2 linked regions of the Oreochromis niloticus genome follow. The protein of the gene in region 1 interacts with the protein of each later gene in a pairwise test. Links are inferred from orthologs where the notes say so. Each region holds a gene or a part of one and is shown in the gene's direction. Other genes may lie near its edges. The genes, in order: rxraa and nr0b2a.

Evidence for each region.
Region 2: the proteins of rxraa (region 1) and nr0b2a interact in a two-hybrid assay, tested with the Homo sapiens proteins (2 studies listed by BioGRID and IntAct). The link is inferred for Oreochromis niloticus from reciprocal best matches to the Homo sapiens genes RXRA and NR0B2.

The regions. Positions count from the first base shown.
Region 1 is NC_031972.2:29,162,583-29,175,619, forward strand, and holds the start of rxraa (retinoic acid receptor RXR-alpha-A), read left to right. Parts: upstream 1-6,705; 5' UTR 6,706-7,006; coding exon 7,007-7,241; intron 7,242-13,037. UniProt on the Homo sapiens protein: Receptor for retinoic acid that acts as a transcription factor.
Region 2 is NC_031976.2:7,489,938-7,502,146, forward strand, and holds nr0b2a (nuclear receptor subfamily 0 group B member 2), read left to right. Parts: upstream 1-7,499; 5' UTR 7,500-7,583; coding exon 7,584-8,118; intron 8,119-8,238; coding exon 8,239-8,480; 3' UTR 8,481-8,825; downstream 8,826-12,209. UniProt on the Homo sapiens protein: Transcriptional regulator that acts as a negative regulator of receptor-dependent signaling pathways. Specifically inhibits transactivation of the nuclear receptor with which it interacts.

The DNA.
Region 1 (13,037 bases):
GCAATTCCTCTCTAATGCTTTGCACTAGGTAGGGATTTTCTGTGTGTGTCTCTCTCTCTGAGGTTATGCCTTCAGCTCCCTTGTTCCTCCTTGAGCTTTAGTGGAATTTGGCTGATGTGCGCCAAGGGGAGGAGAGGAAGGAGGCGCTCATCTTGTTTCAGTGCTTTATGAGTCTGACGTGTTCGTCTGTAATTGCAGTTATGGGTGATTAAACTCTCAATGCCCCTCAGGATCCACAGCCAGCTATCAATCAGCGTCGGGCCGAGCTGCACAGCACTCAGATTGGTTCCTCTGTCTGTCTGTCAGATATCCTGCTTCATGCCGCTCTGTAACATAGCCATATAGCGGAGCTGCAGTTTGCTGTTTTCAAAATAGGCAAACACATGTTGCATTTCGAGTTTAATCAAGTGATTGTCAGAAAAGGGGAATGAACTGCACTTTTTCTATGAGGTGTCATCCTCCCTTGTTTATATTTTTCTGTTTAACAAAGCTGAGGCTTAACAAGCCTTAAGATAAGTCGATTTGTGAATTCTTGACTTTACAGGTCACTTGCCAAGCAAAAGAGCCACTTAATGGTTTAAATTTTTAACATTTTCTGATGTATTTTTTGTAGTTACATAAATACATAATATGCCATGTGCATATTGAATAAATTGAGTGATTAATTACTGTTTTCACTCTTTTTTAATATCCTCCTCGTCTATGTGTTTTAGATACTTGCTGAAGCATATATGCGAGGCAAATCATCTTTTATAATTTAACTCTAAAAGCTGATGTGTGTGGGTGGGTGGGTGTACATGGGGCTTTTGAAATTAATAATCTGTTGATGGCTTCATGGTATCTTTTATGTTTATGTATTCATACCCGTGCTGTCATGCATGGCAAATCATTGCAGTGTGTTTGCATGTCTGGTAACATATTTATGACTTAAAAAAATTGGTGGGTAGATCAGCGGGGGTGGAACTGAGGCCTGCTACTTGCTCGTCTAATTGGTGAGTGTTTGCATCTGTGTGTGTTTATGAAAAATGTGCGACTTATCTACAGAGGCAATATACAACCGCGAGAGTCTTGTCCTCCTCACTATCCTCCTCTGACACTCCAATGGCAAGAGGACAGCATTTTCTCAGCTGAGAGAAGATGGCAGCCAGGCATCTGAACATTTCCTATCGCAAGGATTTGAGTCCAAGCAAAACACTTCAGCATGTGTGTGGTAATGAGGAGTGTGCCTGTTTGTGTAAGTTATCTGCAGTGGCCTCCTCCCATTAGTTTGCTGACTTGGTTGAGCCCTTGTCTTCTGTTGAAGGTTGTGTGTTTTCTTTTCTTTGCCTCCTCCTCTGTGTTGTACTTCTGAATGCAACAAGGATAAAGAAAAGAGTAATTCACACCCTCGTTGCCCTAAGGATCCTTGTTAGATATGGCAGAGTGACCTCACAGTGGAGGATGCAGTGCCAAGAGGGCAGGAAAAATAATTTTTGTCAAAGCAAAGGCAGAAATATGAAGAAAAGAAAATAGACTGAAGTGAAGAAATGACTCCTCTTGCACCACATCTGAAGCCTTCGCCTAGACTGGACTATCTGTCTGGGTCAGTTCAGGCCAGCCTCGGTCTGTAGTGTAAAGGGCGAAGTCTGTAGAAATTACAGGCTGATTAATGTGTGAAAGCCCACATGGACACTAAACAGTATGAATACACTAAGACCTCATACACAGTGCCATTTTATTTTTTGCATACTTGTCACACTAACATGTTTTAGATAATCAAACAAATTTTAGTATTAAACAATGATGACCTGAGTAAATACAAAATGAGATTTTAAAGGATGATTTCCTTTATTAAAGGAATAAAGCTCCAAACTTACTTAGGGCCCAAGCCCTACCTTGAAAAGCAATTGCCGCTATTGTTAAATCAAAGCTAACCACATTTGTTTCTTGGAAAGCTGAGTTCAATTTCACTAGTCACAGACGTGTTGAAATCACGTACATAGAACCTGTCCGATAAAGTGAAGTAGGCTAAAAGATCGCAAAAAGCAACCCATCATGCCACGAGCTAAAGAAATCCAAAAACGGGTAAGAAACAAAGTCATTGACATTTATCAGTCTGGATAGGTTTATAACACCATTTCTGGGACTCCAGCGAACTACAGCGAGAGCCGTTATCTACAAATGGAGAAAACTTGGAACAGTGGTGAACCTTCCTATGAGTGGCCAGCCTACCAAAGAATGTCTCAATGGTCACGAAAGAACCCAGAACAACATCTAAAAAAGTGAAGGCTTCACTTGCCTAAGTTAAAGTCAGAATTCATGATTTAACAATTAGAGATTTGGCAAAAATGACAAAAACAAAACACTGCTGGATTCTGATAATTCTTGAAATCAAAAAGAGGTAAAAAAAAAATGCAAATATGAATCTCATATTTGCTAAAAAAAAAAAAAAACATTGGTGGTTCCCATCAAGATGGAAAAATATTCTATTGACGACGAGACAAAACTCAAAGATTTTATTCCTGTTACGTCTGGTGTAAAGCTAACACAGCATTTAAAATTAAAAGCGCATCGTACCAACAGTCAAACATGTACCTGAATGATTTGCTGCAACACACCAGCAAGTATACCTCTGAATCACTAAAAAAAACCCAACCCAAAACCAAATGAAGGTTTGAGAGTGGTGCTAGAAAACCCTCCAATATGGTTGAATTAAAACAATTCTACAAAGAGTGGGATGAAATTCCTCCACAGCAATGTGAAAGACTAATTGTCTGTTATCCCAAATGCTTGATTGCAGTTCTTGCTGCCAAGGCAGGCACATCCAGTTATTAGGTTTAGGGGGGCAATTGCTTTCTCATTTACAGAAAGGTTGGTCCTGCGACTGACTAATGACTCCAAGGTGTACCCCACTGTTTGCATGGATTAAAAAAGAAGGAAAAAAATTAGGAAGTGACAAATACTTTTCACAGTACTACAGACTTGGTGTATAAGTGAGTATTTAAATTTTGTTTAATAAAAATAAGAAAAAATTGTAAGTGATAGGGTTGAGTGGTATGTTAAAAGTTTCCAGTCAGCCAATGTTGGTCCATCCCAGTGTATTTGCCAACAGCTAATGTATTTATCCTCTTAACCCTAGTATGCTCTATCAGTTTACTTTTGCTTTTCAGTGGGCAAAGAAAAAAAAAAGGCCTTTAAGTTGGTGGAAAAACCCGAGCTGAAGCCTCTTTTGAAAGTTTTGCTGGGCAGCATGTGTTTGTTGGCAGACTGCCAGTGAAAATGCAAGAGAGGGGAAGTCAGCAGACTGGCTGTCTTCTGTTCACTGTTGTTCAGATTGACTCTGTCAGGCTGGCCTTTGAGGCCTGTAATCCAGGTGGTCTGTTCTTTGCGGCGCCCTCTTCCCTCCTCATCCTCCCTCTCTCCCTTCACCTCCGCTGCCCCGTGCCCACAAACACGCCTGGCATCAGCGGCTTCCTCTCTGAGCAGTGGTGTCTTCCTTCCACCAATCACATGGCTCTGCAGTTATGGGCACATTGGTGTAAGCCAATGAACGACACCTGTTTCTCTCAAGAGTGCTTCTACATGCCAGTCATAACACCCACTTTATTTGGCCTCTGTCACAAAGCCAATCTCAACACGTAATTCACGGGCATCCAGGCCATGAGAGGCACAGGCAAGAAGAAATATGGATTTTAGCGATGGGGAAAGGACCTTCTCGAAAATTACTTTCCCAGCACAAATGTCACAGAAAATCTGTGTTGCATCATTGCATCATCGGAAAAAAGTATCATGCAGTAAAGGAACCTTTTGATAGGACTGAGGGATCATTGTTCGGTGGTAAGAGTGGAAGAATTACTCATTTTCTGCCTGAAAGCCTGAAAACTTTTCCCATGTTTCTGTGTACACCTGAGACTAGTCGAAGGGATCACATGTTTTAGCTTTTCCAACATGTATATGTTTTATTTTATTACAAAGATTTTCCTTTTTCAAGCCTGGTTAAAAAACATATAGCAACTGTCACTTAAGAACTGCTGCAGTGTTGTCAGTCGATGCCATTCAGATTTCTTTGCACTGGCCAAATGCAAACAAATTCCTGAAAGCTTTGAAAAAGTCTTTGTGCTTCACCAAATAGCTTGTTATAAGGGTTTATTGTCTGTCGTTTTAATTTTTTCTTAAGGTCAAGATTATGTATCAGATGTCTGCTTTTACACAGTAACTTTTTTTTTCTTTTCATTAAAGTAAAATGACAGCAACCTGTGAATTTATGTGGTAAGTTTAATCTGGCTCTTCAGCCTTCGGTTTATAATACTGTACTAAAACCTCACCTTAATAATACAAGTATTAAAGAAAACATATAAATTGTATTTCTTTACCAAAATGGAGAAAAAAAACATTTGCATTAAAAAAACAATACTTTTTTTGCTTAAACTGTTGGTTAAATATCTGACCCTATTGTAACCTACTCAATCTGACAAGACTTAATTTAAACTGGTTGCTTGATGGAGGTCATGGTTCACTAATGTTATGTTTATACGTTAAACATAACATTAGTCTATTGTTCTTCCCATGATTCTATTTTTTTCTTAATCTATATTCTGTTTTATTTGGTATGTCTTCTGCTTTGACTGTGTTATTGTACAGTACTTTGGTCAACAACTGTTGTTTTTAAAAGTGCTATATAAATGAATAAACTTGAAACTTAAAACTGAAATATTAAGCAGGGCTGTGAATCTCTTGGAAATAAAGAAGCACTTGCAATTGTATACAAGCATTATTGGAGGTTTTGCTTTACCTTAACTCCCCTTAAATTTGGCTGGTCTTTGGCTTTTCCATCAACATTACACATTGTTTGGGGTGTTGGGCTGCATATTTTTTTTACATTGTTCCTTGAAAGCCACAATCTTCTGGACTTTCCAAGAATGATGTATAGGAAGGCAGAGAAATAACAACCTTTGTGTGATTAGTGGTTTTGTTGCTCTATTGGGGACTTTTTTGTTTAACATGAACTTTTTAGAGTCCATTGTAACCTGGACTAAAATAAATATTCAATGGTGATTTTTTTATCTTGTGATTTTGATTTGAAAAGAATTCGGCTAGAGTATGGTATACCAATTGAAAATATGCAAGAATATATTTTGGGGGCAGTTGTGGATGACAAATAAATCTTCAGTGACCAAGGGCAGCTACCCGCCTTGAGTTGCTGAAGTTGATAACAGTAAATAATAGTCCTAGTTGCATGAACACAGCTTTTAGAGTCATTTCTATTACATTCTTGTAAAATGACCTTGACTGGGCGCTTTAGAAAACATGCAGAGCATACATAAGTGCATAGAATCAGTCAGTGGCAGATTCCTCTCCAACACCTCAAGAGGCAACCGACTCCATTGTGTTTTTGTTTTGCTGATTCTGTGTAAACACAGGCTAGTAGTGGTAACCGCATCCCTGGCAAAAGAAATGGGTTTTATAATGAAAGAACATGTTCAAAAGCACAAACATTAAGAAATAGAGAGAGAGAGCGGGAGACAGCAAGGCTTGGAAGCTGATCGAGGTATCAGTAGAGAGGAAAAAGAACTGGCAGCACTCTAACCAGTGTGTCTTCCCAGGACATAAAAGACTTGCTGCTCCGAACTGGGATTATCCTCCACCTCTGGGGAGTCCCTGTGATGAGCAGCAAAGGCAGAATAAAAGATGTGGAAAGAAATTGAAGGAAACAGTAACAGAGGAGAGGAAGTATGGGGAAAAATTAAATGTGAAAGCATGTGCACTGGGGAGGGGTAAGACACATGCATCTATAGACTCTGATCCACATATATGCCAGCTCCACTTACGGACCTGCAAATACTCAAGATGCTTCAGTTGACCATGTTTGTGCTTTCTTCTTTTTTTTCTCTTTTTTTTTTCTGCAACCTCTCCTGACCCCATGAAAAATGGCCCATGCTGGTAATTCAGCCATGAGCCATGTCCCTGTTTGATCTAGCGTCTTCCTGAAAATCATCTCTCCAGGCTCAGACATTTTAAATCAAATGTGATCCTTCCTTTCTAGCAGAAAATACTTGTTGGAGATGCAGATTGCAAAGGTCTACACTGCAAAAACACAGATCTTAATGATACCTGAAGAGAAATCATTTTGTGGGTAATGGGTTTAATGCATTCTTTCTTTGCACGTAGTCCACCTCTCCAACATGACATTGAAATTCAGCATATTAGTCTTTGCAAAATCTTGCTAATAGGCTGACAAAAACATAGCATATGGCCATGACAGCAGCTTGGCTTTCACCTTGATTTAAGAACAATTGTCTCTTTCATGAAATTTCCAAAGTTGTCGCTTGTATTCTTCTGGAGCAAATTTGCTACACAGGGCAGTGTTTAGATTTTCACTTGCTTAAAGAAAATATGAGTTTTAGAACCAGCAGTGTCACTAAGCAGCTCTTTTGGGACTTGGCAGCTGAATTAATTGTTGGTTTGAAATAAAGCATTCAGGGGAGAAACGTTACGCTGTTGACACAAGCTGTTTGAGTTGTCCATCTGACTTATTTTGTTAATAATGGGCCAAAAGGTAATTGATTTTGTGTGTACTGGACAGACTGTCTGTGTGCAATAGAGCAAGAGAAGGGGGCGGATGGAGGCGTGGGGGTGGTAAGGTTGGGCCTCAGTCAATGCAACTATATTTTCATGATTTTGCTTGTTTGTCTTGGATACAGCGTGCCTCCGATCCTCTGGCCTGCAGAATTTTGTGTTTGTTTTCGGTGAGTCAATGCACTGATCCAAAGTACACTCCTCCAGTGACAGAACTGACAGAACACACATGCGTGTTCTTCAGGACATACAACCTCTGGTCTTATTGGAGCGCGTGTGTTCCCACCCAGTTTGCGAGGCCTCTTCCTGCAGCACGTACACACATAGTTTCCCATCACCCTCCGAGCGGCCCCCAGTGTTTTAAGCTTTCTCTGAGAGACTTTCTCGCACTTTGTTTTCCTCCCCCATTTGAATCTCTGCTATCTATTTATGAATCTCTAGCGCTCATTCTATGTGTTCATCCATCGATCAGTCCATCTCTACCCATCATTCCCGTTCCCTTCATCTCTGGCTTGTTTCCCAGAGGAAGAAGGAGAAGGAGTGGGGGGTGGGAGTAGGGCAGTTCCAGCTTACGGCCAGCAGCCAGCTCCTTCTCCATTTGGATTTCATTACAAACAGACCAGCACCTCACAGCTTACAACAAAAGAATAATAATTATAAGGGCAAAAATGAGAAGAAGAAAAAAGGTGGGTGGAAGACATCTAAAAGGCTTGTAATACAGTCAGTATATTTAATCTTTCCGCTGGGGCGGGAAATAAAGCTTTGGTGTTGATTCTGTGTCTCAGAACTAAATGTGAACCATATACTTTTGTATTTTTGTATTTAGATTTGTGTAAGAGGACAATTACCATTTTTATAGGCTGAATACTGACTCGGCAAATGAATGCAGGGAGGGTGGACATAAGGCTCTGTATGGGTCAACATCTGCCTTGGGCTAATTCCAGGTGTTGCAGAGAGTAAACAGCCACATAAACAGAGCCTAGACACACAGTGTTCAGCTTTTGAAGTGTTTCAGTGGTTCCTTGACACAAATGGAAGTCGTCAATCGCCCACTGTCTCCAAACACGTTAGGAAGTGACAAATTCCTCATCCTGATGTCACCAAAGGGTAGGGACAGTTTGTTTTTGCCATCGTGGTAATTGGTATAATTAGTCATCAGTCACTGATGGCTTTATGACTCCAACGTCAATACAAGACACACCTTGTGGAACAATTTCACTTCCACTCCTCCACATATAATGCTGTATTTTTTTTAATCTTGTGCATTTACATTTATTTTCCCTGCTAATGGTGTTTGTATTGACATTTTAAAGACTGCTCTTTATTATTTACTTAGTTGTGATGACTTTTTTCTGACTTTTATTGCAGAAATTGCAGAAAAAGATCAGTTAAAGTTTCTGGATTCGTTTTTGACTAGCCTGAAGGTGAAATACAGAAATCCATTCAGCTGTTTAGTTGGTTTAATTATATGACTTTATTATTTGTAGTGTGGCTCGCAGTGTTCTTAAAAAGAAATACTGGCCACACAGACCTCAGATAACTTTAGTTTGTGTAGTTGCACGGCATCATTGAGCAACCATTTATTATTTTTAATGTTGACACTGGTGCTTTTAGGCCCCTCTTATAGTCTATGCGCAAAAATAAACCACTTTGTTCTCTAATATTTTTCTGAGTCTAAATATATATATATATATATATGTATGTACTTCATGCAAAATTTTCAAGGTTTGTTTTAGTGTTTTTCTTTCTTTGTCGTTCCACAAACCATTTTCATTTTATTTCATAAGCGTAACCTTGCAGAAACGTGACCCTTGTTTGAAATAATGAATGATGAATCATTATGCCCAGCTAGATATGAAAGTAAAAAAAATTGATCTGATTCTTTGTACCTGGTCTTGCTAAATTGCATTCAGTCATGTGCTTTGCTGTCAGCTCATTATCTCTCTGTGTTTGTGTTTGTAAGTATATACTCGGTCGTGCGCCTTCAAGTGTGTTTTGGCAGTGAGCAAGTCCGATAAGGGCCTGTGTTGTGATATTCATCTCTGGGCTCAACAAAAGAGGAAGTTCAATGAATCAGAAGCTTCCTGGCTGTGTTGTATTTCCCCAGTTACATGTATTCATAGCAGTCTTGGGCATGAAACCTTAAATGTCCTTAAAAGGTTTAAATACTTTTTTTTTTTTTTTTGCTTTGCAAATCTTAATCATAGAGATTTATAATATAATAAAGCAGGTGGTAAAGGTAATGTTTTCTCATCATCTTTTGTCTGCGAACTTCAAGAATCGCCTCCAAAACCTCCACATTATCTGATTAGGGTCATTCAAAAAGCCTGTCAGTCTTTACTGTCTTGAATATTACTGACCTCTTTTGACTTACTAAGCTGCTGTGGTAATGAATACTCAAACAGAGCCGAAGAACATCAGTTGCAGTGTAATCTTCTTCACCCGACAGCTGCTCTGCAGGCTGCAGAAGTAATTATCGCTCAATGCCATGTCTTTGATCAACCACTATTGTCAGTTGCCGTCTATGACATAAGCCGCTGACCAAAGCACAGCAAGTGAGATATAGTCACTATGCTGGCTGTCATTCATTTGTTGAGTACATTTCCTTCACAGTAGCTGTGTTGCCTTCATTCTTTGTGCCCTTGGCCTTTTTACTCCTTCTCTTGGTGTACTAGTTTTCTCCTCACAGTGAGAAATGTGTGTAAATGAATTTGGTGTGTAAATAAAGCTACCTGCTATAGGTAGTACTTCCAGTGTGTTTGCCTTTCTTCAAGTAAAGCAAATCACTGAGCATGACTGAATTTACAGTGCAGTTGACAAACAGCCACCAAGTAATTCCATACTTAAATAAAGCAATATGGGAAGGATAAGCCTGGTGATTAGTAGGTTAAAGAAAACACTTTCCAACTTTCCAAGTGCGCTCAGTCACCAGGGTGAGTGGCATTCACATGAGGCTCTAAGCATGGAGCAAGGTTTCTAAAGTGTGTCTTTACCCAGTGAAAAATATGTTAAACTAAATTTGATGCTCACATTTCCTTTTGTAATTTCTCAGGTTGTTCAACCAGTTGCATTTGGCTTTGCTTCACACTCTTCAGAAATGCCTTGTTTAAAGGTTAGACCAGAAAGTTACAGTAGTGTGTGAAATGATCTGTACATAAGAATTTGGCCCAACCTCAGTCAACTGCACCTCTGTGCACGAGCTGGTTGGTGCGCTGCGTGGAGCTCCCAGGGAGAGATGGTATATCACCTCAGAGCTAAAGACAACAATTAGGCCATAACAGCAGATCATAGTGTTGGCAGCCGGGGCACTGTTAGCAATAGTGCCAGTAATCTGTGGCTTAGCTGGCACCTAGCCACATCCAGCCACAGCTTCATGGCCTCTGCAGACACTTAAGAGTCACTGAGGGCACCAGCATGCCCTAGGAGCTGGCTCTTTTATCTACATGCTATCAGGGAAATGAACTGAAATGGGAGGAAAATAAAGCCTGTGAGAGACAGAAAGGAGTAAAAGGGAGGTGGGAGGGAGAGAATTAAGTCTTTAATGAGGGCAGTTGTTTCAGCAGGCAAAAAGAAGCGGGTTATATCAACACAGTGTATCAAATGATGGCTGTTAGCAGCCCACCTACTGTGAAATTATGGGTGGCCTGTTTTGGTTCTTTTCTGCCACTTATCCCACATTAAGGCCTTTATCTGTTGCTCCTACACTCTCTTGTTTAATCTACAAGTTGGTTCATGAATCCCAGCAGATGCGGGCTTAAACAGACAGTATAAAGAGAGTCTGGATACTTTTGATTAGCACTGTCATAAAGATCGAGGTATAGTTGCAGCTGGCCTGTCTGATCATATCTTGTCTTGTTAAAGTTCCCTGATCACCATGTGGCTCCTTGCACTGTCCTCAATCCTCACATACTGTATTGAGGATTGAGGACTTAACTAATAAAAACTGAGATGACAAAAACGTGTAAACATGGTATTTTGTTTTATCTTGTAGCATAGTGTTAATTGTGCAAGGACCATAATGAGCACAAAGACCACAGGAAACAAAGGACTAAGAACAAAAACCCATTTAATGAGCCTATAATGCACCTTTCTAAATTCATAGTCAGCAGAGATGCTGATAACATTCTTTTGTGTGCAACCACTCGTTTCTAAAAGTAAGACAGCGTTAAAGAAGTAACAAGCAGGCGTGTGTGAGAAATACCATCCAAACTATTTTAAGTTATAAATGCTTTAAAAGCTTTCCACTAAGATTTACAAGAAGTACAGAATATATAAATTCTGTGATTATTTATTGACTAATTTATTGCATCAATCCCACTCACTGAGTTATCAAAATCCTCAGTGTGCAACTGGAAAACACAAGGTCAAGTACCTGTAGAAGTTCACATCAACAGAAGAAAGAGGGTTTATTTCAGGGTAAAATAGTTGGTATTTGAAAATAAGTAATATTTTTAAAAAATCTGCTTCACTTAGCTACAATATAATGACTAACTATTTGTTAGGCAGTTTCACCAGTGCAGTTTTATATATATGGTGCCAAATAATAACAACATTTGCCTGAAGGAGCTTTATATTGTAAGGTGAAGACATTAGAATAATAGAGAGAAAACAGGAACAATCGAAAGGTCCCCTTTGAGCAAGCACTTGGTGACAGTGGGAAGGAAAAACTTCCTTTTAACAGGAAGAAACCTCCGGCAGAACCAGGCTCAGGGAGGGGTAGCAATGTTCTGCAACTGGTTGGAGGTGAAGGGAGGAAGACAGAACAAAAGACACACTGTGAAAGAGAGTTGGAGATTAATAATAACTAATGATTGGTGGAGCTTATCCTAACTGCCCTACGGTGAGAGGCGGGCACACCAAGTCACCAGCCTGTTGTGGGGCTACGGAGAGACAGACAACCATTCACATTCACATTGTTGGGCAGTTTAGAATCACTAATTAATCTAACTCCACATCTTTGGACTGTCGGAGGAAGCTGGAGTATGCCGTTTTAAACCGAGGACCTTCTTGTTGTGAGGCAACAGTGTTAACCACCACGCCACAGTGCTGTATGAACAGCTAGTGCTTTTATTTATAGCTTAAATTACTTGCTTACTTGCATTTTTTATTAGATAAGAGAATTCCTCGCTTATCCATATTTTTTGCATCATTGCAAATAGAAGTTTTCAGATTTTTACTGCTCCAGAGCCAGAACAGGTTGTTTACTAGTGGAAAATGCAACTGGGAATTTTTTCTGTCCAAATTTCAGACGTTTTATAAACATAATAAGTTTGTAAAACAAAACCTTTTTTTAGAAGTGTGCGCCGATTCTATGCATAACCTGTTGATATTTCATCAGCCAATCACAAGCTCGCTCCCTACACCATCTTTTACACACAATAAACACACACACACACACACACACACACACACACACAGCCCCACTTCCTCTCTCCTATCTACAGAGTAAACATATCAGACTCAGATATTTACACTTTGGACATAACTGAAGGCACCAGATTAGTCTGTTTATGTAGTGGAAAACAGTAGACAGACATTTCCCAATTAATGAGCACACATGCGCACACACAGAAAGTGTGAAGCTTAATGAAAAAAAAGAACAATGAATAATGATCTAGTTTTTGAAGCACATACACAAAGTGGTTTATGGAAGATTGAGAAAAATATCAGCCCGCTGTCGTCATGGCGATAGAGACATCAGCAGTAAAAACTCTAAAAATGAAGCCGTAATACCAACTCCCATGTTATTTTGGGCTTTGTTTTTTGTTTTTTTTCCCACAGCCCACTGAATCTCCTGGGTTATTTAGTTGAATCTCTTTTTCCCTCTTCTCTCTTCTTCCTGAACACATCCGGAGAAATGCTAATGACTAGTGTTTCATTCCGGCTGCGCTCTGTGCCGCTCTGTGCTTTTCAAAAGTGACTCACCTAGATGATGTCCTAAAACGTTGTTCCGAAGAATTTAAAAAAAGAAAGAAAAAGGGAAAAAAAATACTGCTTGGTGCCTCAAATCAACAGAAGGTGTTGGGTGGAGGGATGCATTAAAAACAGGGCCCGTGTTATTGTTGACATGCCACGCTTTCATCCAGTTTTTTCTTTGAAGATGCAGTTTACTAAAGTGCTGCAGTGTAGGTGCAAGTGACTCATGACTGCTTCGTTTATTGCAAAGTCGGTCTGTGAAATGATCGTTTTTTTCCTGGCCAGTCTCTCACCTATGCCATCATTCCCCAACTCAGCCATAGCCAATCACGGTTAGTATAGAAAGTACGTCGTCTGTGCAAAGGATCTACATCAAGTCCATTTGGATATTTTTTTTGTTGGTTTTTGCATTTTTTTCTGCACTGAAAGCCTGAACAAAGTCTTTAGAGAATATGGGATAGGACACAAGCTATAGGGGTATTAAACTAAAACTGGCAGTGGTGTATGCATCCTTTTGTGAGCACAAACACACAGAAACAGAGAACATTATGATTTTTGCCTACGGA
Region 2 (12,209 bases), on another chromosome or scaffold:
TAGAAAACAGCCCTGTTTACCTTTGAACAACCCTTGTTACAGCTAATCCAAGACCGTTTTTAACTCTTTATATATCAGAAGGAGAAGGCTCTCAACCCATAAAGGAACATGTCCTCATTCAGTTTATCAGAAAATATCAAAGTCACAGAATTCAGAGATCCACAGTTTTTCACTGTAATCTGAAACTAAGGCTGTCAGACAAATGCAGTGGAGTAAAGGAAGGAGTACAGAAACCGTTAGCTCAACTTTGAATGTCAGTATTTAAACATTTATTTATTTAGTGTACAATGTAGATACAGTGGAAATTCACATGTACCAGCTTGTGTGTGTCTGTCAGCCACAGTTTTCAGGACCCCAACACCTGACTACAGACAGACAGAAAATAATAAAAAGCATTTTTCATTATCAGCTTGAATTCAAAGTCTAAAACAGGAACTAACAGAAATCCAAATAAACATATTAAAGAAAGAAAAGCAGTAATATAATAATAAAACTAATGCAGGGACCCAACATACAATCAGCACAAAAATCCAGACCATAGCCAAAGAATCATCAGTCTTTTTTATATTTTCACTGGGAAATCCCCCCTGACATCCACACAACCAGTAATGCTCAAAATATATAATCAGATTGCTTAAAATCACATCTTGGGTCTTAACGGTTGAATTTTTTGTTTAAAGTCTGTATATAAATGTGCTGTGTAATTTGTGGAAAACAAAATGATGCAAGATCTTTATGATCGCAAATCATAAATATAAAATTATAGAAAATAGAGCCCAACTGATACTGATACCGATATTTGGCGTAAGGACAAAATTCATTTTTCTTTAATGTATTTTTAAAATCTGATATTCCAGTGTATTGGCTTTTTTTTCTCTCAGACACACACAACATATACAGATTTCCCTTTTCCAAATTTGTTATATGATATTTTATATTTTGTTGTTTACCGTCCGTCGATTCTGCACAGGTCAGCTGGTTGCTGTGTTTGTGGATCCCAAACAGGTAAATTATGAACACAGAATTACATTCAGATGCCTTCAAATGCTGCTAAAATTAACACTCTTTACATGGTTGATCGGTCTTTCTCCAGTTTTTCCTTTAGTTTTAAAATGTTCTTTTATCTGCTATTATACATGCCGATACCGATAGCTCAGTAAATAGTCAACTGGATTAATAAAACTGCTTAAGCGTTGTCCTAATGTTTTCATACAGTATATATTATAAAAGGTCACATCAAAGTGGCATCGATGTACTTTGATAGACAACAGGTTTAATCATGTCTCACTTGGCTGCACAGGTATATTTCTTTTCACACTGACTATAAGTCGCCAATTCTGCCTCTTTAACAATGGTCACAGTAAAACCTTCTTCATTTCATTAGAAATACACCAAGATGTGTTCAAAACTGTTTAACTTAACTTGACTAGTAAAAGGATAAAAGAGAAAGCGGCAGCTGGGAAATATATCTAGTCAGAGTTCATTAACCCAAAGGTAACCCTTGCTTTGTCCTTCACCTCAGCTTTTATTGTTGTATTTTTATAGTAATGGGCAGTAAAACTAGACTCGGGTGTCTGGACTCTGACATTATGTCACACATCATATTACACACACACCATGCATTAGTCATCACCCTCCTGATTAGTGGAAGTTCAAACAAATTCTTGAGAATGTGCATGTGTGAACGTGTGTGATGTAAAAAAATAAAAATTAAACCGCAGTAGATGTGGTTAATATGTGATTAGATCATAAAACAGCCACCTAACTCAAGAAATGAACCTGTGTTGTGTGTACACATAGCAGGCAGCTAAGCAAAGAACCAATTTTAAGTGGCAACAAACACATCATTAGTTCCCACTTGTTTAGTCAAAACTATGAAAAATACCAAAGATAACACAATTTGAAAGACATAAAATAGTATTTGTGCACCAACAAGGTCGTTCAAAACTTGGCAAATCTCAGCATGGTGTGCAGTGTGTCATTAAAATTTCAGCCAGTGGTGTTGGGGATCTTTTCGCAATTGGTGAAATTATGAACGTGTATAGTCAGATTTTGAACCACCATTCAATAACACGTGAAAAGCATCTGATTAGCAGAAGCTTCATTTTTCAGCATGACAATGATCTCAATCACACTGTCAATGCAATAAAAGCTTTGGCACATATACATATATATCCTGCTGCAGCCTTTTAAATATTAATGAAACAAAATGTTTCAGTATATGTATTAAGGCATACACAGGAAAAGAAATCACTTTCTAAATGCATGAACAGATTCTAACATGAAGCAGGTATAAATCAAAGAATTTGCTGGATGTCTATTATATACAGTCCCGATCAAAAGTTTAAGACCACTTGAAAAATGGCAAAAAACCATATTTTGCATGGTTGGATCTTAACAAGGTTCCAAGTAGAGCTTCAACATGCAACAAGAAGAAATGGGAGTGAGACAAAACATTTTTTGAGCATGCAATTTATTGAAAACAAGGCTTAAACTGAAACAGGCTGTTTCATAGCTGATCAAAAGTTTGGGACCACATGCCTTTAAAAGGCCAAATCTGTGCAAAAATGTGGATTTATTGACATTTTCTGTCAGGTAGTCACACTGTCATGATGTTCTGATGGCAAAGGCAAAAAAACTTTCTCTTTTTGAACGTGGTCGGGTTGTTGAGCTGCATAAGCAGGGTCTCTCGCAGCACGCCATCACTGCTGAGGTGGGATGCAGTAAGACAGTCATTTGGAATTTCTTAAATGATCCTGAGGGTTATGGAACAAAAAAGTCAAGTGGAAGACCCATAATTTCATCGAGCACTGAGCCGGAGGATCCAATTGGCTGTCAGGACATTGGACGATCCTAAACCCAAATTAAGGTGGCTACTGGTGCCGACTGCAGCCCCATAACCATCAGACGGAATCTGAGACTGAAGGGCTTCAAAGACAAAAAACGTCTTCAAAGGCCTCGTCTCCTTGAACACCACAGAACTGACCGTTCAGACAAGAGAGCACCAAACACGGGACATGGAAAGGTGGAAGAAAGTTTTATTCTCTGATGAGAATAAATTTAACCTTGGTGGTCCCGATGGTTTCCAACGTTACTGGCGTGACAAGCAGATCCCACCTGAGATTCTTTCTACACGTCATGTGGAGGGGGCACCATAATGGTCTGGGATCCTTTTTCTTCAGTATAACGATGGAGCTTCAGGAGGTGCAGGGGTGTCAAACGGCCGCTGGCTATGTCCAGATGTTGCAGAGAGCATCCCTCATGACTGAGGGCCTTCGTCTGTGTGGTAACGACTGAGCGTTTCAACAGGACAACACTACAGTACACAATGCCCACGGGACAAGGGACGTCTTCCAGGAGAATAACATCACTCTTTTGGACCATCCTGCGTGTTCCCCTGATCTAATTCCAAATGAGAACCTTTGGGGATGGATGACAAGGGAAGTTTACAAAAATGGACAACAGTTCCAGACAGTAGATGCCCTTCATGTGGCCGTCTCCACTACTTGGAGAAATGTTCCCACTCACCTAATGAAAACGCTTGCATCAAGCACGCTGCAACAAATTTCTGAAGTGATCAACAATAACAGTGGAGCTACTCATTACTGAGTCCATGTTTGGAACTTTGATTTCTGTTATGGGTTTTGTGGAAGTGTGGTCCTAAACATTTGATCAGCTGTAAAACAGCCTGTTTCAGTTTAAGCATTGTTTTCAATAAATTGCATGCTCAAAAAAATATTTTGTCTCACTGCTATTTCTTCTTGTTGCATGGTGAAGCTCGACTTGGAACCTTGTTAAGTTTACAACCATGTAAAATGTGATTTTTTTGCTCACTGGGGCACATTCTTGAACAGTCACTGCCGAAAAACTCGGCATCATTTGAAAAGAGGATGTTTATTTTAAAGTTTATTCTTAAAATTAAAGAGCTCAAAAAGGGGAATGATAGACCATTTACTACTTCATTTAATAATTCTTTCATTTAAATGTCTTTTTTTTGGTTGTTCTTTTATTTCACTGCAATTGAGGTTCTATGTGTATATAAATGCAATTTCAATCTGAGTTTTAATTTAGTGATTCTGTTTTTTTTCTTCTCCTGAGTACATGTTCCCATGAGGCCACCCTGTGTGAATCATCTTTGGGTTGATGACCTTATTAAAATGGAACCAGGCAAATGAACCTCCGCTGTATTAGCAGTGGGTCAAGGCCAAAAGTCATGTTCAACACATGACGTCCATCATGCACCCACGTGGTAGCACGGAGCGTTCAGTGGCCTGAAAAAACTGGAAGCAGTGGAAGTTCAGGCACTCAGTCTGTGAAGATGAGTCTGAGCTACTTGTTGACACATATCCCACAAATCCAATAATGCAATTACAGTAAAGTCACCTAATAAATTCTTTTAAGGTGCATGAATTTTGAAGATATTAGGAAAACAGTCTCCAGCTCCTGTCTATTACATCATACTTCATCACCATCTTGCTTCCCTTTACTCCGAACACAGTGGTTGTTCTACTTATAGTATGAAGGACGTTTTCGTTTTACTGTCCTGGCAGAGATAAGCGTCTGTCCTCCGTGCCCGTCTGTGCCTGCTCCAAACCTCTATAAACACGGGCCTTATCACAAGCATTTACAACTGTCAGCATGCTTGATGAAGCCTGAGGGCTGCTGAGTGAAGTATAGGTCACTTTCCTGAAGGGAAGATAACCCATGCGTCTTATCATGTTTTGAAGCTGCGGTCCACTTCGATTAGGCTTCTGTGAGTACAGACATCGTGTCCCATATGATTGATATGATACTGTCCATCATAATGAGATCACCCTGTGAAAAAAAAAACAGGGCTGTTAAACATTTTTCATGTATTCTTTCAAGGAATGAGTAAAGGCATTGATAACGTAAAACAAATATTCGGTGACTGGTGCTGCCAGTTGTGTCTGGTGTGTAATCTCTTTATTACGGTCATTCACTTTATGAACTGACCTTGACACAGGTACCCTGCAGTTCAGATCTTCCTCTTAAACTTCCAGTTTCAAGCTTCTGGGCTTGTCAGGCTTTTTGGCAAATGTGTCACTAAATAACAATAAATAACGAGGATGGTACATCATATATGGTGGCACCCGGGATCACTGACTATCATAAATGTTTTACTGTCTATAGTTCATGGCACTGGATGTTCAAACCAGAGGTCTTCCACATTGGGTTGTTTGTTTATTTCTTATGATAATAAAATCATTTTCTTATCAGCCCCAAACCTCGGTGCCAGGTACGGGGAAGATAACAAAATAGGATAAATGCATTTAAATGACAAGTGGAAAAGTGTACGACATGTTACGGACGTCATGAACTCCACGTACAGGATTTTGTTGTGCTCCTTTCAAGTTTCATAAACTTGAAAAGAAAATTCATAAAAGTTAGTTTGATATATAAAGAGATATAAGAATGTCACAGACTGAAGTAAGATCAACCTCATGAGTACAATAATTTGCCATGGCCAGTACAAATGTTTACTAGATATTTTTTTCGCAGTACAGTAGTACAGCACGTATCAGGGCAATCGCCGTAAAGTCTGCACACACAGCCAGGGCTGGAAATTCCCTTCACAGTACACAGGAGTTCGACCCAGACTGATCTGGATTTCTTTTATATTGACTTGAGAACATTTTTTAAATATTTGTGTGTGTATTTGTGAAGATATAAGACACACAATTTCCAATTTTATCCCATCTCACAATGATAAAGAACACTTCTAAAAATTCCTGGTTCCAGATTTGCCCTAAAAATGAATAACTTCCAAGGTCAATTTTAAGTAAATCCCTACATACATCTGAAAAAACGAAACACTTAAGCTTCAGATAATAAACCAAAACCCCCAAATTCGTAAAACTCACAAAAGCAAAACCAATAATAAATAATAAATAACAGTTTTATGCAGGTGGTTTTGTGTTTAATTGTAAAAAATATTTTTTGAGGGGTGGTGGGAGAAAAAAAATGTGTGTAGCAGTTGTGTCAATAGAGCAGTTTCTCACACATTAGTTTTTTGTTTTTTTATTGAGTGGACGGGTCAGAGCTGGAGGGCTGCAGGTACGGTGCAGTCTACTTCTTGGGTGCAGACTGAAATATCTCAGCGGTCATTTTGTACAGATGCTGTGGATTCTCCAGCTAATAGATAAACGGCCACACACCCAGTCCAGTCGCCTCAGAATCATCATAATCACCTGACCCTGCTTTAATAGTAAGTCCCCGTGTTACACAAAGCTTGACCTGTGATCCACTAACCAGTTATCTCTGCCTGTTCCCAAACTGCAGATTAATCTTTACAGGAGGGAGGGATTCTCGAGACTGCCAGCGATCTGGACTTTTAGTGGTGTCGGTGTTTTCATTGGAACATCCGTTACAAATACAAAACATGAAATACAATAAATACCACTGGGCAGCTGCGGATTCACCAGTCTGGGTGTCAAAGTACTCCTGGGTGGTATGCTGAATCCTGAGTCCCCCCTGATGTATCCATCAGAGTGTGAGCGTGTGTTTTAGGCACAGATAAAAGTGCTGTGTGGATGTGTGAGACTGTAGAAAGCAGTTTGAATTTGATTTCAACTGATCTATGCAAGTAACAGTCCATTTACCAGTGTGTGATAGTGCTGAAACGCTATTTCTGTACCATAAATAGAACCATATTCAAGGCTGTCCTGTGGTACACAAGAAGGTTTTCTAGCTCTTCTTCACAGGTTTGTGCAGAATTTGTGTTTTAACTGCATGCTTGTAGTCTTTACATTGCAATGTGGCAGTGAAAATAAATGTCTGCTTTCTCAAATATGTGTCCAACCTTTCAACCCTTGTGAGCTGGAGGAGGCTGAATTACAGTTCTCTTATATAAAGCTTCCTCTGGTTAAAATCACAATATAAATAGTAATAACTCAGCTTGTTTAAAAGTCAAGATTCCTTGCCAAATAATTCAGTTTTATTTATATAGTGCCAGATCGCAGCAACAGTTGCCTCAAGGCGCTTTATATTGTCAGGTAAAGACAATAACATCAAGGTGGCTGTTTACAACCAGTTTCCACTAAATTAGAGTTTTAAAATTCCAGCTCTGTTCTGGGATTTTACTCTTTTATTTGGGAAAAAAAAAAACATGAAACACTTTATTTGAAGTTATCTCGCAGGTCAGTGACCCAAGTCTACTTTGGCCTGTTTCCAGTATTACAGGTGTGAGCTGGCAGCAAGCAGGGGCTCACTGTGGGGCTGATTACTTTTTGCAGTCCTTGGTAGCTTGGTACTGCCTGGGTTAATGACACCGGTTACAAGATAAGACCCAGCCCTCTTGATAGCCAGACGTTACTTCAGCAGCTCCTTTTCATTGAGAAAAGCTTATCAGTTTCCCAGGGTTGTTCCAGTCACCTGGCAGAGCACACAGTTGTTTTTCATATGGAGCATATTGACAAGTCAAGGTCCACTGAAGCAGGTTGGGCTGGCCTTATAAATAGAGGGAGACTCCAAGCAGCAGCAGCAGCTGTGCTCACAAGCTCGTGAAGAGCCCATCCTGCCAGAGGATTCATTTAACTGCCTACACAATCTGTGACTCGGTTAAAATGGACAGCGCGTGTCGTTGTTCAACCAGCAGTGATAGGACTTCAAATCCTATCCTGTACAACATCCTGAGCCAAATGGATGGCAGCAGACTGAGCCAAGGCAACTTCAGCTACAATTCAGTGCCTCACAGATGCAAATGTGAGGCACGACGGACAGTGTGCTTGAAAAGGCCGTCGGAGATTTGCAAAGAAGCTTCGGCGGTTCTGGTAAAAACCCTAAATTTCATGAAAAACTTGCCCGCCTTTAACCAGCTGCCTCCAAACGACCAGTTCGCCCTTCTGAAAAGCTGCTGGGCGCCACTCTTCATTCTGGGTCTGGCCCAAGAGCGTGTGGACTTCGAGGTGACGGACATCCCCACTGACAGCATGCTGAAAAAGATCCTCCTGAACAGACCCGAGAGCCCCGAGGTGGAAAGGGAGCAGCCCACTATGGCCGGTGTCAGCAAACTCGTGTCTTGCCTCAAAAAGTTTTGGAGTTTGGATTTGAGCCCCAAGGAGTACGCATACCTCAAAGGGACCACGATATTTAATCCAGGTACATATTCGATGTGTTCAGCTTCAGCTTTCTCTGGTCAGTGTTCGGTGGTTTAATAACGGTGTCCAATATTAAGCATTCATGTAACTTTACAGTTTTGTTTTGTTTTTCCACCAACAGACGTACCAGATTTGAAGGCAGCCCTGTTTGTGGAAGGCTTGCAACAGGAAGCTCAGCAGGCCTTAAGCAAGGTGGTTCAGCTCCTCCACCCGGGGGACGGGGACCGCTTTGCTCGAATCCTCCTCACAGCCTCCATGCTGCAGAGCATCACCCCCAGCCTCATCACTGAACTCTTCTTCCGGCCTGTGATAGGACAGGCGAACCTGCTGGAGCTGCTGGTCGACATGCTCTTCTGCAGATAGGAGCGGTGGATTTTAGAGCTTTTCCGTCTTTGTGAAATGAAGGAATGCCTGATGGTGGGCTGCTCTAAAACACATTTACTATTAAAAAAAAAACTCAAAGAAAACAAAAACTGTGAATTGTTGAAGATGGGGTTATGAATTGCTTACACTGAAAATGATGCCGAGGTCACTGTAGCCCAGTCTGACACGATTTCGTCCAATTGAACTGGATTTGACTTTCTACATTAGGACAGAGTGTACCTACTGTCCATATGTTTGCTTGATCTCATGACGGGAGCTCTCTGTTGTAAATAATTATTGTTTGCATTTACAAAGGTTTTCAAATAAATCTATTTTTTTTACACGAATGAAGAGTGAAATTGTGTGTCAGTCACCTGAAAAGGGAAGCCAAATCAAACATTGAGTTTGTTATATATGTACCAGCTGGAACATCTGATAGTGACAGTCTGGTTTGAACATTTGACCCCTGCACTTCATTGGCAGGCCCATCAGTGATATGTGCAGGACAGCATGTACACATTAAATTCTTGTTGTTGCCAGAGCTCTTAAAAAGCAAATACCTTGAAAATGGGAGTAAAAGGATGATTTTGGTGGTCTTTAAACAAACATTGGAATGAAGTAGAAAACTTTTTTTTATGGTAGTATTTCTTCTTTGATCCAGGAAGTAGCGAGCCTAGCATTTCAACCAGATGCCTCCTCAAGAAAAATGCTTGTCAAGTCATTTTTACCTAAACAACCTCTGCATTAAAATGTCAGGAAATGTTTTACATGTTACATTTAACATGATTGCTTTTTGATTTAAAATAATTTAACAGCTAGAAGACTTTATTGAAAATAGGTTTAGATAACTGTATTACAGAAAAACAAATAGTATCTGAACACATTAAAATGATAGGAATACAAAAGAACTTTGCACTGCTTTAACAAATAAAGACCTTAATGAAGCCAAAAAACAGAAGAAGAAAAAAAGCGTTTACAGAGAATATCTCAGTTCTCTGTGTGAAAATGTCCCGTTGATAGCAAAGGTCAGAGGAGAATGACCAGACTGGTTCGATCTGATAGGAAGGCAACAGCAAGTCAAATAATCAGTTATTACAGCCAAGCTGTGCAGAAGAGCTTTTCTGATAGCAAAATATGCCAAACCTTGAAGCTGATGGGCTACAAGCAGCAGAAGCAGAAGACCACACTGAGTGCCACTTCTGTCCGCTAAGAACAGGAAAATAAAGCTACACCAAAGCTGGACAATAGAAGATTAGAAAAATGTTGTCTGGTTTGATGGGTCTTATTTTTTGCTCCAATAATCAGATAGTAGGGTCAGAATTTGGCATAAACAACATGCAAACAAAATTCGGCTTTGAGCTGAGGCTGGTGGTGGAGTGATGGTGTGGGGGATACTCTCCTGGCACACATTAGTACCCGCTGAGCATTGTTTAAAAACCACAGCTTAACCGAGTATTGTCGCTGACCGCATCCATCCCTTTTTGACCACAGTGTACCCATCTTCTGTCGGCTGCTTCCAGCAGGTTAACGCACCATGTGACAAAGCTCACGTCATCTCAAACAGTTTTCTTTAACATGAAAATGAGTTCACAGCAGTCAAATCCCCTCCACAGCCACCAGATCTCAATCATATAGTGCAAATTTGAGATGTGGTGGAATGGGAGGTTTCCATCATGAATGTGCAGCTGACAAATCTGCAGCAACTATGTGATGTTATCATGTCAGTGTGGACCAAAATCACTGAGGTTAGATTCCTGCATCAATCTTTGGAGAGCATGAAAATGATTCTACTGGTGGGAGGAAATTAAAAAGGGAGCTTTTAGGGGATATAACACTATTACAAAAGCAGAGTTATTTATTTATTAATTATAGAATAGGTGGTGGAAATGACAGCTTAGAAAAACATAAACACATTCTTTTTAATCGGTTGTTGGATTTATCAGGGGCCATAATTATATCCATGTTATTATTAGTTATGTATCTTGACCTGAGGATGGAGACACTATGTTTAAATGTAGCAGCACAGTTTTATAGGCAGTCTACGTAATGTGCTTTCTTTTTTCTCTAATGGTTCTCTGTCCCCCTCTCATGGAAAACAGTGGAAGTCACACATTTTCCCAACAGAGAGAACCATAAAAATTAAGCCTAAACTTTATTGCATTTGCAAATCCTTATCGGTGCAAAAGCCTCACTCGGAGTGATTTTAAATGTTCAGCACCTGAAAGCAGCCAAGGAAAAACTTAAAAGGCTAAATCAGCTGTGACGGGAAACTCTTGACTGGTTCTTGGAAATCTGCAGGCTGCATCACTTATGGAACAAGCTCACGATTGGTCTTGTCCTGTGGTATGTTAGTTGTGAAACTGTGAGCCTTTAAATGACACCTACATACAGGTAAAACAGGAATGTGCTGGTGGGGGAGTGAGCCAGGGGAAATGGGGTTACACAGGCCAAATGCAACACACACAGAAACAACTTCCCTAAAAGAAAAAAAAAGCTGTGTGTGTGGAGCTGAAGAACAGATAGTTAAGAAGTGTCATTGTCTTCATGCAAGCATTTACTGGGTTTTGAATAAAAACAAAATTGTTTCAGTAACTTTTTTTTGTGCGTTTTCTTGGTGCAATTTTGGCTACCGGTTTAACCCCCCCACCCCTCGTTTTAAAGCAGTAAGTCACAGCTGGACTGTACGGGCTCCGAAAATAAACAAAAAATAATTATTATTGACAAATGCAGCTTCATTTGTTTAACCCAGATTTGAACCGCTTCAAGAAAATTAGGCTGACTTTCTGTGCTGCTCCTTTGCCTTTGCCATAAATGACAAAGACAAAGCCGTGGATTTTATTTCCTTTCTGTAAGAACCAGCCAAACGAGTTCCTTCTTTTGCTGAGGGCGGAAAAAGCCTGCCTGCTGTAACACAGTGACCTCGGGGAGATGAGCCTGACAACAATAATCCCAGAGATAAAGAGGAAAAAAAATAGGCTGAAGAGAGAGTGCCAGAGAAGCTCGTGAAGGTAAAGACTTGTTGATATACACGAGCAAAATCATTTGCTGTCAAACAAATTGAGCTTTTTTATATACAGAGAGAGAAAAAGATTTCCAGGCACAGATTTAGACTTTTGAATAAACAGAAGCATAAAGAGGTATGGAAGGATTTTTTTTTTTATTATTTTCTTAAAAATATGACTTGGTAGCTAACAATATAAAAAAAAATGTGGACAAACACCACATATGGTTTAAAAAAACCACAAAGTAACATCGACATAAGGGTATTTACAAAATATGGCTAATACAGATTTCAGGTAAAAAACACGCGTCTTAGGGTTCTGGGGAACTGGCAGGAGGTCGACAAGCTCATACACACAGACGGCACATGCACAACAGCTAGCAAAAAAAATTAAGATAAAAACAAGAACGAGGACGGCTCTGTTCAAACGTCTGCCTCTTTCCTATGGCATCCTGTTGAGTGGAGTCACTTTTTCCATCTTTAAACACTGCACAGAAAAATACATAAAAACCTACATCTCCTAACGTGTGTGTGTGCGTGTGTGTGTGTGAAGGGGAAATAGGGGGGAAAGTCTCCTCAGTGGGCCTTTTGCTTGAAACATAAAGATGCTTGAAAACAGCAGGTAGTAGCTGGACCACTTAAAGGCAGAAGTACAACCACCCAGCGTAAAAGGTGCTCAACTTGGTAACAGCAGGAGGATGAAACAGCCCGTGTAACTGGCTACATCT